Linked DNA regions of Schizosaccharomyces pombe. The main gene of each other region encodes a partner of the protein of the gene in region 2 in a complex. Each region holds a gene or a part of one and is shown on either strand. Other genes may lie near its edges. The genes, in order: dad5, ask1 and dad1.

Region 1 (3,304 bases), on a different chromosome or scaffold from region 2:
ATATGAACAGGTACTTTAAACAAAAAAGACGTGAACCCCAAAACAAAAACGATCTAAAAAGGGGAAATAAAACAACAAAAACGAACTAAAATACCAAAACAAATATAGAAAAATAAAACAGATATAAGCTAGAATACAATCCAGAGGTGTGGTGGAACAAAAAAAAGTAATTTGTAGACAGATTGGGGAATGGTGGCGCTATGGCTTCCTCAAATCAAATTTCCGTTTTCCCTGGAAGAGAGCAAAAAAAGAAGAAACTGCAAAAGAAAACAGATATTTATTGATTAGGTATGTAATAAGGAGGAGCCAAAGCTTAAAGAAATCAATTTACAAAATCGTTTGAAACGTTTAAAATTAGTACAACCTGCTTTTCTTTTTTCGTTGAGGTTGGCAAAGGGACGGCGTTGTTCACACCCATCTAAGCGAGGTCGAAGAAGCTCTCTTCGGTAAATCGTAAGGTGAAAATAAAGAAGCCTAACGAAAGGAACCACTTTTACCTTTTTTTAGCTAGCTATCCAATGATTGTGCGCTATCTCAAATAAAAACCATATGATTGGTACACTGACTGTTTTGTGAAGCGCAATTGACCAATCATTTCTGGTATCCAATTTTTGCAGTTTCCCTTGGTTACTTAGCCGACCGAGCTGACCAATGAACGAGATCACTTATTAGACGAACTAGAACACCCTCTTTTAGCCTGCTATTTTTTACAGAACTGCATCGTACAATGCAGTAACATAGGTTTCGGGAGTGCAGCCCGAGAGTCGCAAAACTCCCATAGCGTAAAATGCCGAAAAGCCGTATTCCGGATGCATAGTTGATACAACTCCAACACCCACATATTGAAAGAAGCCCCAAATACCGCATTGTTGCAGTAAAATAAGAAATAGCCCCATCTAATTAAGAAAGAGCACATTCCTACTTCCTTTCCTGTTATATTTCTCCTTCATTGGGGCACTTTGTCTCTTGTATTCTCCTTTTTATCATTGTCATTTGAGGTCTGCATCAAAAAAGTTGGAGACTCACATAGGAACGTCTTCTTCCACAGCATCTGAAGACTTTTGAATCCTCGCTTCGGACATAACGCGACCAGACGCCATCAGAAGCGAGGCCTGAAGAGCACCAAGACGTCGGATGGCTTCTGCTTGAATTGCGGTAACATGTAAGTGGTTTTCCAAATGAGACATGTTGGATTGCAACTTGGACAGTTGGTCCACCAAACGATTCATTTGAAAGCTTTTCATTTGACTGGGAGATGGAGATGAACTGCTTGTTCGACTAGTTGGCACAATGGTAGAACGACGCATGGTGTAAGGTGAAAGTGAAAGAAGGCAGACAGGTAGATGGAAGGTAAACAAACCAAACGCGTGTGTGATGGGCGAGTGCAGCTTTTAAGACACCGCACTAAAATGCAATCAACCTTCAGTATCGACAATTAAAGGAGACCATTACCCACTTGAGTGGTATTTCAATTTAACAAATTGCAGCGATTTCCAACAATACCGGCCGACGTTAGTATTCCTCAAAAATGAATAAGAGCGTAAAATAGCGTGGAAAGAGTGGCAGAAAAAGGCGACCAGCGCAGCGCACCTATCTTTTATGTAGCTGACAAGAAGGAAAAGGGGGACGGTAAATTTTTCGCTTACTGATAAAAAACCAAACTTTCGTTATATGGTTTAGCGAGACATAATTTCCAAGCTAATAAGTAATACCGAAATCGTTCCTTTTGCTAAATTTTTCGGGTCAGTTCCGTGGAAATAGGCAAAATTATTGGTAAGGATGGAATTATCAAGTTTTGCATAATTTCCATGGAAGTGTAGAAGGAGGATGAAGACGGAACTGATGAAAAGTGCTCCAAAGCTCCGATCACAATCATGTTGGATGAGGTGCTTTGTCCAAATCAAAGGAAATAAAAATTCTCCGTAAGCTCGACATGCTAGGCATCTTATGAGGAAGATAGGCAAATGAGTATTTTAAAGGAAAAAAGAAATGGAAAGAGCACGATCGTTAGACAAATTACATACGGAAGTCAATGTCCGTGCAAGAGAAGACGCAGCAGCGTGATGTGCATCCGTTGTTTTAATTATTGTTTGAATTTTCAAACTTTACTCAACTACGATCGGAAAACCTTTTTTTTTAATAAACTACTTGTCTTAATATCCTCGGGTTTTATTCAGTTTCAAAAGCATCGAGATTTCACTACACTGGGGTTTATCTTTTAGGTCCCCCACATCTATCATTTCACAGAGTTCCATTTCATATCGACGCTAGGATGGGGTTTGACATATAGTCTTCTTATATGTGAAAACATATAGCTTTTCTAATCAGGTTTTGTTTTTTCGTTTCAGATATATCGGAAGTGAGTTGACCGAACAATGGATTTTATCTTAGCATGGACAAATGTATCAATTCCCTGGAAATGATTCTCTTGGAAACAAAAGAAAGGAAACAGGGATACACAAACCAGTCGAGACAAATAAAATCCAACAGGAAAATTGCTTGGTGTAAGGAAATCGTCATAGAATGCTTTATGGGAGTTTGGGAAGTATTTGTAATATTTACATTTTTTTTCTACTTTTTTTTTTTTTAATTTTTTTAGTTAATGTTTGGCTATTTTCAAAGGAGGAATTCCTGAGTTAGATGAAAATTAGTTTTTAATTTGTTTCTTTTTTTTTATATAATCAAGTTGGTTCATTTAGTAACCATGCTTCCTCATACCGCTTTTTCTAATCATATTCATTACCATTTTATAAGTAATTTTTTCAAACATTCACTCATCCCTTTCTAATCATATACCCCATTTTTATTATAGTTTCTTTCATGAAAATGAATGACTCCTACACTCCATACACATACATCGTTTCGTTTCACAATTTTGTACGCTTCCCCATAAAACAAAGAAATACTTCCATTCACCACGCCCCTAACAAAAGAAAAAGAAAAGATGAAGCCCCTTTCCGTCTATGTATATATACCCTTTTTCATGCTCACACGTGTTTTTCCTGCGGTTTATCATTATCGCTTATGGAAGTGATAATGGATATCTCCCAGTTGCTTATTTCCTAAATCACTCATTTCTTATCCTTATTGCGCTAAAAATGATAACAGTCGCATATTTTCCTCGTCCCTGCTAATTTACGAAGAGTTGATTACTTCATTCCAAGAAAGACGTAGGAAGACGTAGGAATGTCAAATTGCGATCCTATTTTCCCAACTCATCTCGCTTTCACTTGGCGTTGTTGGCATTCCTTTGATTATGACGGACATTTACATCCGTAATAGATGATTGCATGTAAACGAATTT
Region 2 (3,985 bases):
TCTCCATGTTCTTTGGGCTTCGTGCCATGCGTCATTTCCGGATCTAAAGTACCATCTACTTCGCCTTCTAATAAAGATTTTCTATGTTCTCTCTCCTGTATCTTGGCTCCCAACTTCATCAAATATGGCCGGATTAACATATATCCTCCAACATATACGATAATTCGAATCCAGTCCTTCAATGAATATGATTGTAAATAGCCTGCAACGTCAAACCCCATTTTCCTTGCACAAAAAAGAGTGGTGGATACTAAGTTCACCTGTCTGCTCAACCAGGCAAACTATTATTAACCAAGTCACTAAAATTCTTTAGACTTTTTTAGAATTTTTAAAACCTCGTTATTCGTCTTAACGTATATTCTCAATGATATGCTGTAAAAAGATTTATTAATTAGGCTATAATACTAATTTATTTAAAAATTTTATAGTTATTTGCTTTCTTAGTTTATTTTAAAATTATTTTCATACAAATTTTACTTGGTTTACAGTATTTATACCGTGACTTATGATTCTCTTAAAAGAAGAATTTTCCAAATTAAATAGAACGTACAGTAAATAAAAAATTATATAACATAAATATAAGGTGGGATTTTATGAAGTAGACATATGTGCTTAGAAAATAAATAGAAAAAATGCGAAAGTAAGGTTCACTACTAAAGGCGAAACGAAGGTGATAACTTCAGCAGTGCTTTATCAGAGTTCCCAACTATCTTCTTCTTTGACAAAACTATCATTAGAATCATTCAAGGTTTCTAATTTCCTCTGCAAAGACAGGCTTCGCTCGTTGGCTTGCTGAGAAGAACCCACCCCCATGGTATGCGGGCTGAATTGGATAGTTTTAGGTGGAGACATTCCACTTGGGTTAATGCTATCATAGCTTTCATGCTCAAATTCTGCAAATAAAGAAAGAGCATGCGAAGAGTTTCTATCGTTAAGTGAAGGCATGTCCATTTTCATTGATATGGGAGAAGGCGATACAAAAGGAGAAGAATCAATATCCATTACTTCTTGAGATTGCAAATTCTTAGGCTCACGTGGAGTCACTTGTACTTGCCAATTTGTATCTAAAACGCGATGCAGAAGGGCACTACGACCTGTATGAGGATTATTTTCTGGTTTTCTTAGCGGAGTCTGCATCCTTGCCGGGATGGGGGTCAAAGCTGCATCATCTAACGAAATATCCTCTAAGGAGACATCCATCTTCTTAGGAGTGGACTGTACAAAATCCTCGTTTTTTGTATTATCTCCTTGTACAGCTGCATCGGGAAAATCAGATTTTCCGACAAAAGAATGCCTCTTTTCCAAATGTTCATTCTTTGTGTGCAGCTGTAGGTCCGCCTCTGTAGAATTAGACATAACATCTTGATCGCTTGGATTGGATTCTACTGGAACAGGTTCCTCTACACCCGAAAGTGAAACATTGGCACTTGCTTCAAAAAACTGCTTCCAAAACTGTTTTCTGTTAGCTTAATTCTTAAAATAATACAAATTACAAGCTGAATCATGAGTGGCAGTTGCCATTGAACATACTTTTGAAGAGTCCCATATAGTGTTACAATTTTTTGCGTATTTTTCCACGATAGGCAAGATTTTGGTAGTCACTGTTCGATGACATTTAGAAAAATTTGCATCAATTTCGTAAAGTGCTAGAGTAATCGATTGTTCCAATCGTTCTAATCTAATTCTTTTGTTAGAGAATGTTTATCTACAGTCGCGACAAGTTTACTGCATACTGTTCCAAATTGTTCATAAGAATGACATCTAATACTCATAAAAACTTTGAAAATATTATTTCTTAGTATAGAAACTCTCAATGGTGAAATTTATGGCGAACTGCAACTGAGGTGTAGGTATACTAGCGTCCATTATTAGCGATGTTTCGTAAAGTAAACAAGTTAAATTGGCAATATACAGTGAGATTTTTGTAAGTTCAAGATAATACTAATACAATCATTGTTGAGTAATAAATATGAATTTTAAAGTTTTGTTTACTTTCCTCAGTGGACTAAATGCAGACTGCAATGATCAAATGATCCATAGTAAACAAACATTCAACTTGTCTTTTGCCAGCATCCTCAAGATCCAAAATGAGTAGTATCTTTGGAGAGAATATTGTTTCAGATAGTATAGTAAATATGGAGTTGACGAACCCTGATAATACTACGACTATGCATCCCATCTATGAAACTAACATTGAAAAGGAAGTCCAGCAGGAGTTTTCTGACAATGTCTCTGAAAAAGAAACGATTGACTCAACTAAAAGCAAAATATCTTTAGAAAATATACAGCAAGAAATGGGAGCACTTGCCAAGAAAATTTTTCATAAATTAGGGGTTAAAGCAACCGACTTGGGATTTTCTAATGAGCATGATGACTCGCAGGATTCATTACAGACACTAGCGCCTTCTCCATCATATGTTCCACTTTTGAAGGTTATTGGAAGCTCTGAGGAGGTCAATAGCAACTTGGTATTAACCGACTTGGAAACAAATACTGATGGATATGATCCTAAATTTTTGATTTCTGTTAGGAAGTTTTTGATGGGATCTCCCAACTCTGGCTTTGTCGTTAAACATGAGAAACGTCTTCCAGATGGACCGCGTGTTCTGGCCCTTCGAGCCATTTCATCAGTCGATGAAGAAAATAGAAAAGAGCGCCTATCTCCTGATAGTGATCCTGTTGAAACAGAATCTGTTTATGTTGACAATGGAGAATTGTCAAATCAAAAAGTAGAAACAGTTGAAATTTCCGAAAAAGAACAAAATGATGATCCCGCCGGATATTCTCAATACCTTCTAGAGTTCAAGAAGAGTAAATGTCAAAAGAAAGTGCCGACTTTAGAGAGTATTGAGGAAAATGAAGGAACGGAACCTCATGACAACTTGACCTTTATGACTGATTTGGGAACTCCATACTATTCTCTGGGTAATGAATTTGAAAGAAAGCAAATTTTGGATGAATACGGGTTGCTGGCTAATGATGAAAACCTAGTTATTGGACACACGTTAAGAGCGGAGTATTGCTTTATGTTTGATGAAAGCGATATCCTGCAATTACGCAATTATGAACATACAGAAAAGGAACTTAGTGTCCTTCAATTTAAAGGGGTCTCGTCACGTTGGGATTTTCGTTGCTGTAGAGAAGAACGTTTACTCCGATTGCTACTATGTTTCGACAGTGAACATACTGGGCAATCTTTCATTCAACTGAACGATCCTGAAAATGAAAATGAAAAGGAAGAACAAAATTCCATTAGCATTAGGGAATTATCCTACTTCAGCACAAAACTTATTTCATTGATCTTACCCAAAGAAGCACATAAGCAGCGGTATATCATGCTAAGCTCCTTAGCAAAGACAAGGGAAGCTGATTTCTTTTGGTCTGAAGAGGAAAAAACTAATTATACAAACGAGCTTCTCAGCAACCCATGCAAATTCCTTTGTGAACTAGATCATTTCGATTCATTTCCTCATCAACAACAAGATCTACTCTGGAAGTACTTAGCGGAGTTTTCTGCTAGTTTAGAGTTAGACCCCAACCTTGCCCTTTGGAAGAAGCAAGTTATTTTTTCAAAAATCGGTCATCCGAAGTTGCTGGTTATGCCAATATCTAGTTTCCACTGCGTACAACGTTTCCCTGACCTTGTTTGCGTTCAAACTTCAACTGCTGAAACGTTTTTGTCTGTGGATCGTGAATTAACAACTTATGACCTAAACACTATTAAGTTGTTAAACACAGCACCTAGTCGTACAGCTCAAAACTGGCTTTTTATCATGCATCACCTAGAAATTGTAGGCTATTTATTTCCACATTTGGTTCATCTCGATAAACAGTATAGTTTATTAGATTATGCAAAGTCTGTTGAGCACATTCCAGAATTGGGCACTGTACAACGAAAAGGGTTTTTGAACAAAGTCGCATTTGATGATAACGAGGCTTTACTTTACCAAGTTTAAACGTACTGTCACATAATTTTCTATCACAT
Region 3 (3,216 bases), on a different chromosome or scaffold from region 2:
TGATGAGATTGTTGGAACATAAGAAGCAAGAAAAACGCTTTATTTACGCATTCTAACATTGCTAATTGCATATAAACCAATACTCCAAACGTTTGCTGCAATAGAGACATTATGCTTGTATGCTTTCTTTTAATCTAAGCATATTGTGTAGCAGTTTCCTTTTCAGAATTTTGCTCCTATCTCAACTTTTTATCTTTTCAGGTATTTAACTAGCCAATATGGTTTAGATGGATTATCGACTATTGGAGCTATTTTGTGATTTATAATTTGTTTATTAAGACGTTATCTGTTTGATTCTGAATATATGTCAGCAAAAATCAATTGGTCTTAATGTTTTTTTTTACTTTTACTTCAAATATGCCTATATTTGTCCGAAACTTTGAAAATCGGTTTTTTAACCCTGACTGGTTCAGGGTATTCATGTCGTGAATAAAACGATAGTTATATAGAAGATATTGAAATGAATACTTATGATTCCTTTTACCTTTTTATTATGCTAAACTGCATTAAACCCCTTTTATAATTTAAATAATACCATTAAAATGGTAATTTCTAAAAGGATTCGTATAGTAGTAAAGAAAAAGTTTACTATGCAAATATTAACATCAACAGTTGTTCTGCCTCTCAGACGATGAACGGCTTATTTAAAAATTGGCAGCTTTTAGAAGAATATAGGAAGATTAAAAACTAATATATATATACAAACACATTATTAATGAAGTGACTTAAGGTTTGTGTATTGTAATATGTAAGTTAATTTAAAAGAATCCTGACCTTTGACCAATTTTTGAGGACGCTATTAAATTTATAGATTCATAAAAAACATATAATAACTAATAATTTAATTTAATATGCAAATTCTTTGAAACAAACTGCGTTAAGGCATATGTTTAGCGGCAATGAAAATACATTTAGAAAAGAACGACCATCAAGGTGCATCTAGCATTTCACGATCTTTCTTCTGTAACACTGAATTTTGAAACTCCTTCCAAAGAGACGCGACATTTTCAAATTCCTTTCCAACACCGTTAATGCTTTCAAGATTTTTATTTAGAGCTGACATAAGATTCACAACTTCATTCATACTTTTTGAAATTTGTAAGGTCAAAAGACGACGCCTTCTTTCAAAATCTATATCATCAAAATCTTTATTTTGCTCATTTTGTATGTTTTCAGTAATATCCATATTTTCTGAGGACATGGTATGTTAATGGCTAGTGTCAAAGTCAAGCATGAGCCAAAGTTTATCATAAGGTTACAATCAAGTAGATCTTATATTAGATTTAACTATCTTCATAATTAAATGCCAAAATTGAAGCTTCCGTACGAGCATAGAATATTAGTCAAAAGAGACATGTTATGCATATTTACAAGTTGGAATAAACAAATACATTAAATATAATAATAATAATAATAATAATAAATCCGGATCAGTACTACAATGTAAATAGAAAAGGACTAAGCTTCTTTTAAATTACTTATTTCCTGAGCGCGGCGTAATCTGCGTTCAAGAATCTCATCTTCCTTAAGTAAAGACCTTTGTAAACGAGCTTCACATCCTACAACAGGGCATACACAAGTTGGATTTAACAGAGACAAAATAGCATCTTTTTCATAAAAATGATTACAGGCTGTCGATAATATTGGGTGAACAATTGGTTGTAAAGTTAAAGGGCATCTGTTATCAAAGGTAGCTGAATATACCATCACTTCATCTGCTTCCTGTTCTTCAGTGTTCATGACATTAAAAAATGTTTTCATAGAAGGAAAGTCAGAACCGTCTGTATTTTGCTCATGCCATATGGTTTTTTTAAATTCAATGTATTCTCCTTGTGTGCCATATTTACCATAGTCGGATTTTTCTTCGTATTCTTGAATGAGTTCCTTAAAAATTTGTGTATAAATATCCAACAAACTTTTATTCTAATTTTGTTAGAACAATTGAATATGAAACAGTAAAAAAATACGTCTAAATTGATGTTTTTACTTCATCTACATATAATAGAAAAAGTAGGAAAGTCATTTCCGTGGTACGTACTTCAAAATCACTTATATTTTCACTGGTTTTGTTAGCCAATGTATCCACCGATTGCTGCATCAATAACAATCTCTGCTTTGCATCCAACAGCTCTCGGATCCCGCTATCAAGCATGTCCAAACACTAAAAGGCAAGTGTTAGTCAGAAGTCATAAAGTAAGCAGCATGTCATATTATGTCTATTTTAGGCTCTCTCTCAATAGCCGGAAATAAGAGGAAGAAAAATATTAGTTAAACAATGTTTTTGTATGTATATTTGTACAGCGAACTTCTTTTTAAAAAACTGTATCTCGACATAACACCACTTTCGAGTTTTAAAAGCAATTCATATTAATTTTTTCCATTATCTTTCGTAATAATGGTACACATACCTCATTATTTTTTATCTCAGCAGCAACTAGAGCACATTTTATCACCTGTTTAATTGAATCGTCAATTTCCTTCAATTGGAAGTCGAAACTGCAATGATTTTGGTTTCCAGGTAATAAATTTTGACTTAAAGCCTCCAAGGAAGTTTTTAATTGTGCTTCACTCATTTACGATTCCATTCGAGAAAGAAGTAGTTACGACGTTTAATTAGTAGACAACGCAATTTGGGATTGAAAACCTATTAATTGCATATGAAAACTAAATGCCACAACACTTATTTCCTTAAATAAAAAAAGAATGTTTTTTAAGCAAGGGTAATAACCACGTTTTAAAATTTAAACTCCAGTACGTTTTTATGAAGATTGATGGCATATGTATAAAGACTAAATAAATTCTTATTTACTGTCACGTTTAATACAAATGAATGGGTTATGAAATATTCTCATTTGGAATTAGAATTTATAATGCATACTTCGGACAATTAACGCTTGACTTTTAGTACCTCTATTACTAAACCAACTATTCAATATGATAAACCAATAAAGGATGATTAAGGCCGTGAAATGTATAAATTAAATTATGTTATTTTCAAAATATTCCATAGATTAGTAGTAAAGTAAAACACGATTAACAAAACTATCCGAGTCTTGTCAATATTATTCATTAAAAAAGCAATCATGAACAAACTCTATCCGGAGACGAAAAATTAAGATTGATAATTAACAAGCTCTTCCCGTAAAAGTGGCGGAGTTGCCTCTATGTAAGGTATTTTATGAAGTTCACAATAGGCCTGGCCCACAGTAACATTTT

The links.
Region 1: ask1 (region 2) and dad5 share a complex: the UniProt entries of both Schizosaccharomyces pombe proteins name them as parts of the DASH complex.
Region 3: ask1 (region 2) and dad1 share a complex: the UniProt entries of both Schizosaccharomyces pombe proteins name them as parts of the DASH complex.

Annotation. Positions count from the first base shown.
Region 1 is NC_003421.2:1,669,299-1,672,602, forward strand, and holds dad5 (DASH complex subunit Dad5), read right to left. Parts: upstream 1,565-3,304; 5' UTR 1,308-1,564; coding exon 1,023-1,307; 3' UTR 646-1,022; downstream 1-645. Other genes in the region: SPOM_SPCC417.03 (uncharacterized protein), read left to right, coding at 2,705-2,753, 2,945-3,066. UniProt on the Schizosaccharomyces pombe protein: Component of the DASH complex that connects microtubules with kinetochores and couples microtubule depolymerisation to chromosome movement; it is involved in retrieving kinetochores to the spindle poles before their re-orientation on the spindle in early mitosis and allows microtubule depolymerization to pull chromosomes apart and resist detachment during anaphase.
Region 2 is NC_003423.3:1,561,815-1,565,799, forward strand, and holds ask1 (DASH complex subunit Ask1), read right to left. Parts: upstream 1,838-3,985; 5' UTR 1,751-1,837; coding exon 1,734-1,750; intron 1,679-1,733; coding exon 1,531-1,678; intron 1,453-1,530; coding exon 694-1,452; 3' UTR 512-693; downstream 1-511. Other genes in the region: protein trafficking protein Pga2, read right to left, coding at 1-221; protein meu25, read left to right, coding at 2,088-3,956. UniProt on the Schizosaccharomyces pombe protein: Component of the DASH complex that connects microtubules with kinetochores and couples microtubule depolymerisation to chromosome movement; it is involved in retrieving kinetochores to the spindle poles before their re-orientation on the spindle in early mitosis and allows microtubule depolymerization to pull chromosomes apart and resist detachment during anaphase.
Region 3 is NC_003424.3:3,088,125-3,091,340, forward strand, and holds dad1 (DASH complex subunit Dad1), read right to left. Parts: upstream 1,217-3,216; 5' UTR 1,202-1,216; coding exon 929-1,201; 3' UTR 660-928; downstream 1-659. Other genes in the region: Smc5-6 complex non-SMC SUMO ligase subunit Nse2, read right to left, coding at 1,459-1,923, 2,039-2,161, 2,409-2,573; taz1 (telomere length regulator), read right to left, coding at 3,113-3,216. UniProt on the Schizosaccharomyces pombe protein: Component of the DASH complex that connects microtubules with kinetochores and couples microtubule depolymerisation to chromosome movement; it is involved in retrieving kinetochores to the spindle poles before their re-orientation on the spindle in early mitosis and allows microtubule depolymerization to pull chromosomes apart and resist detachment during anaphase.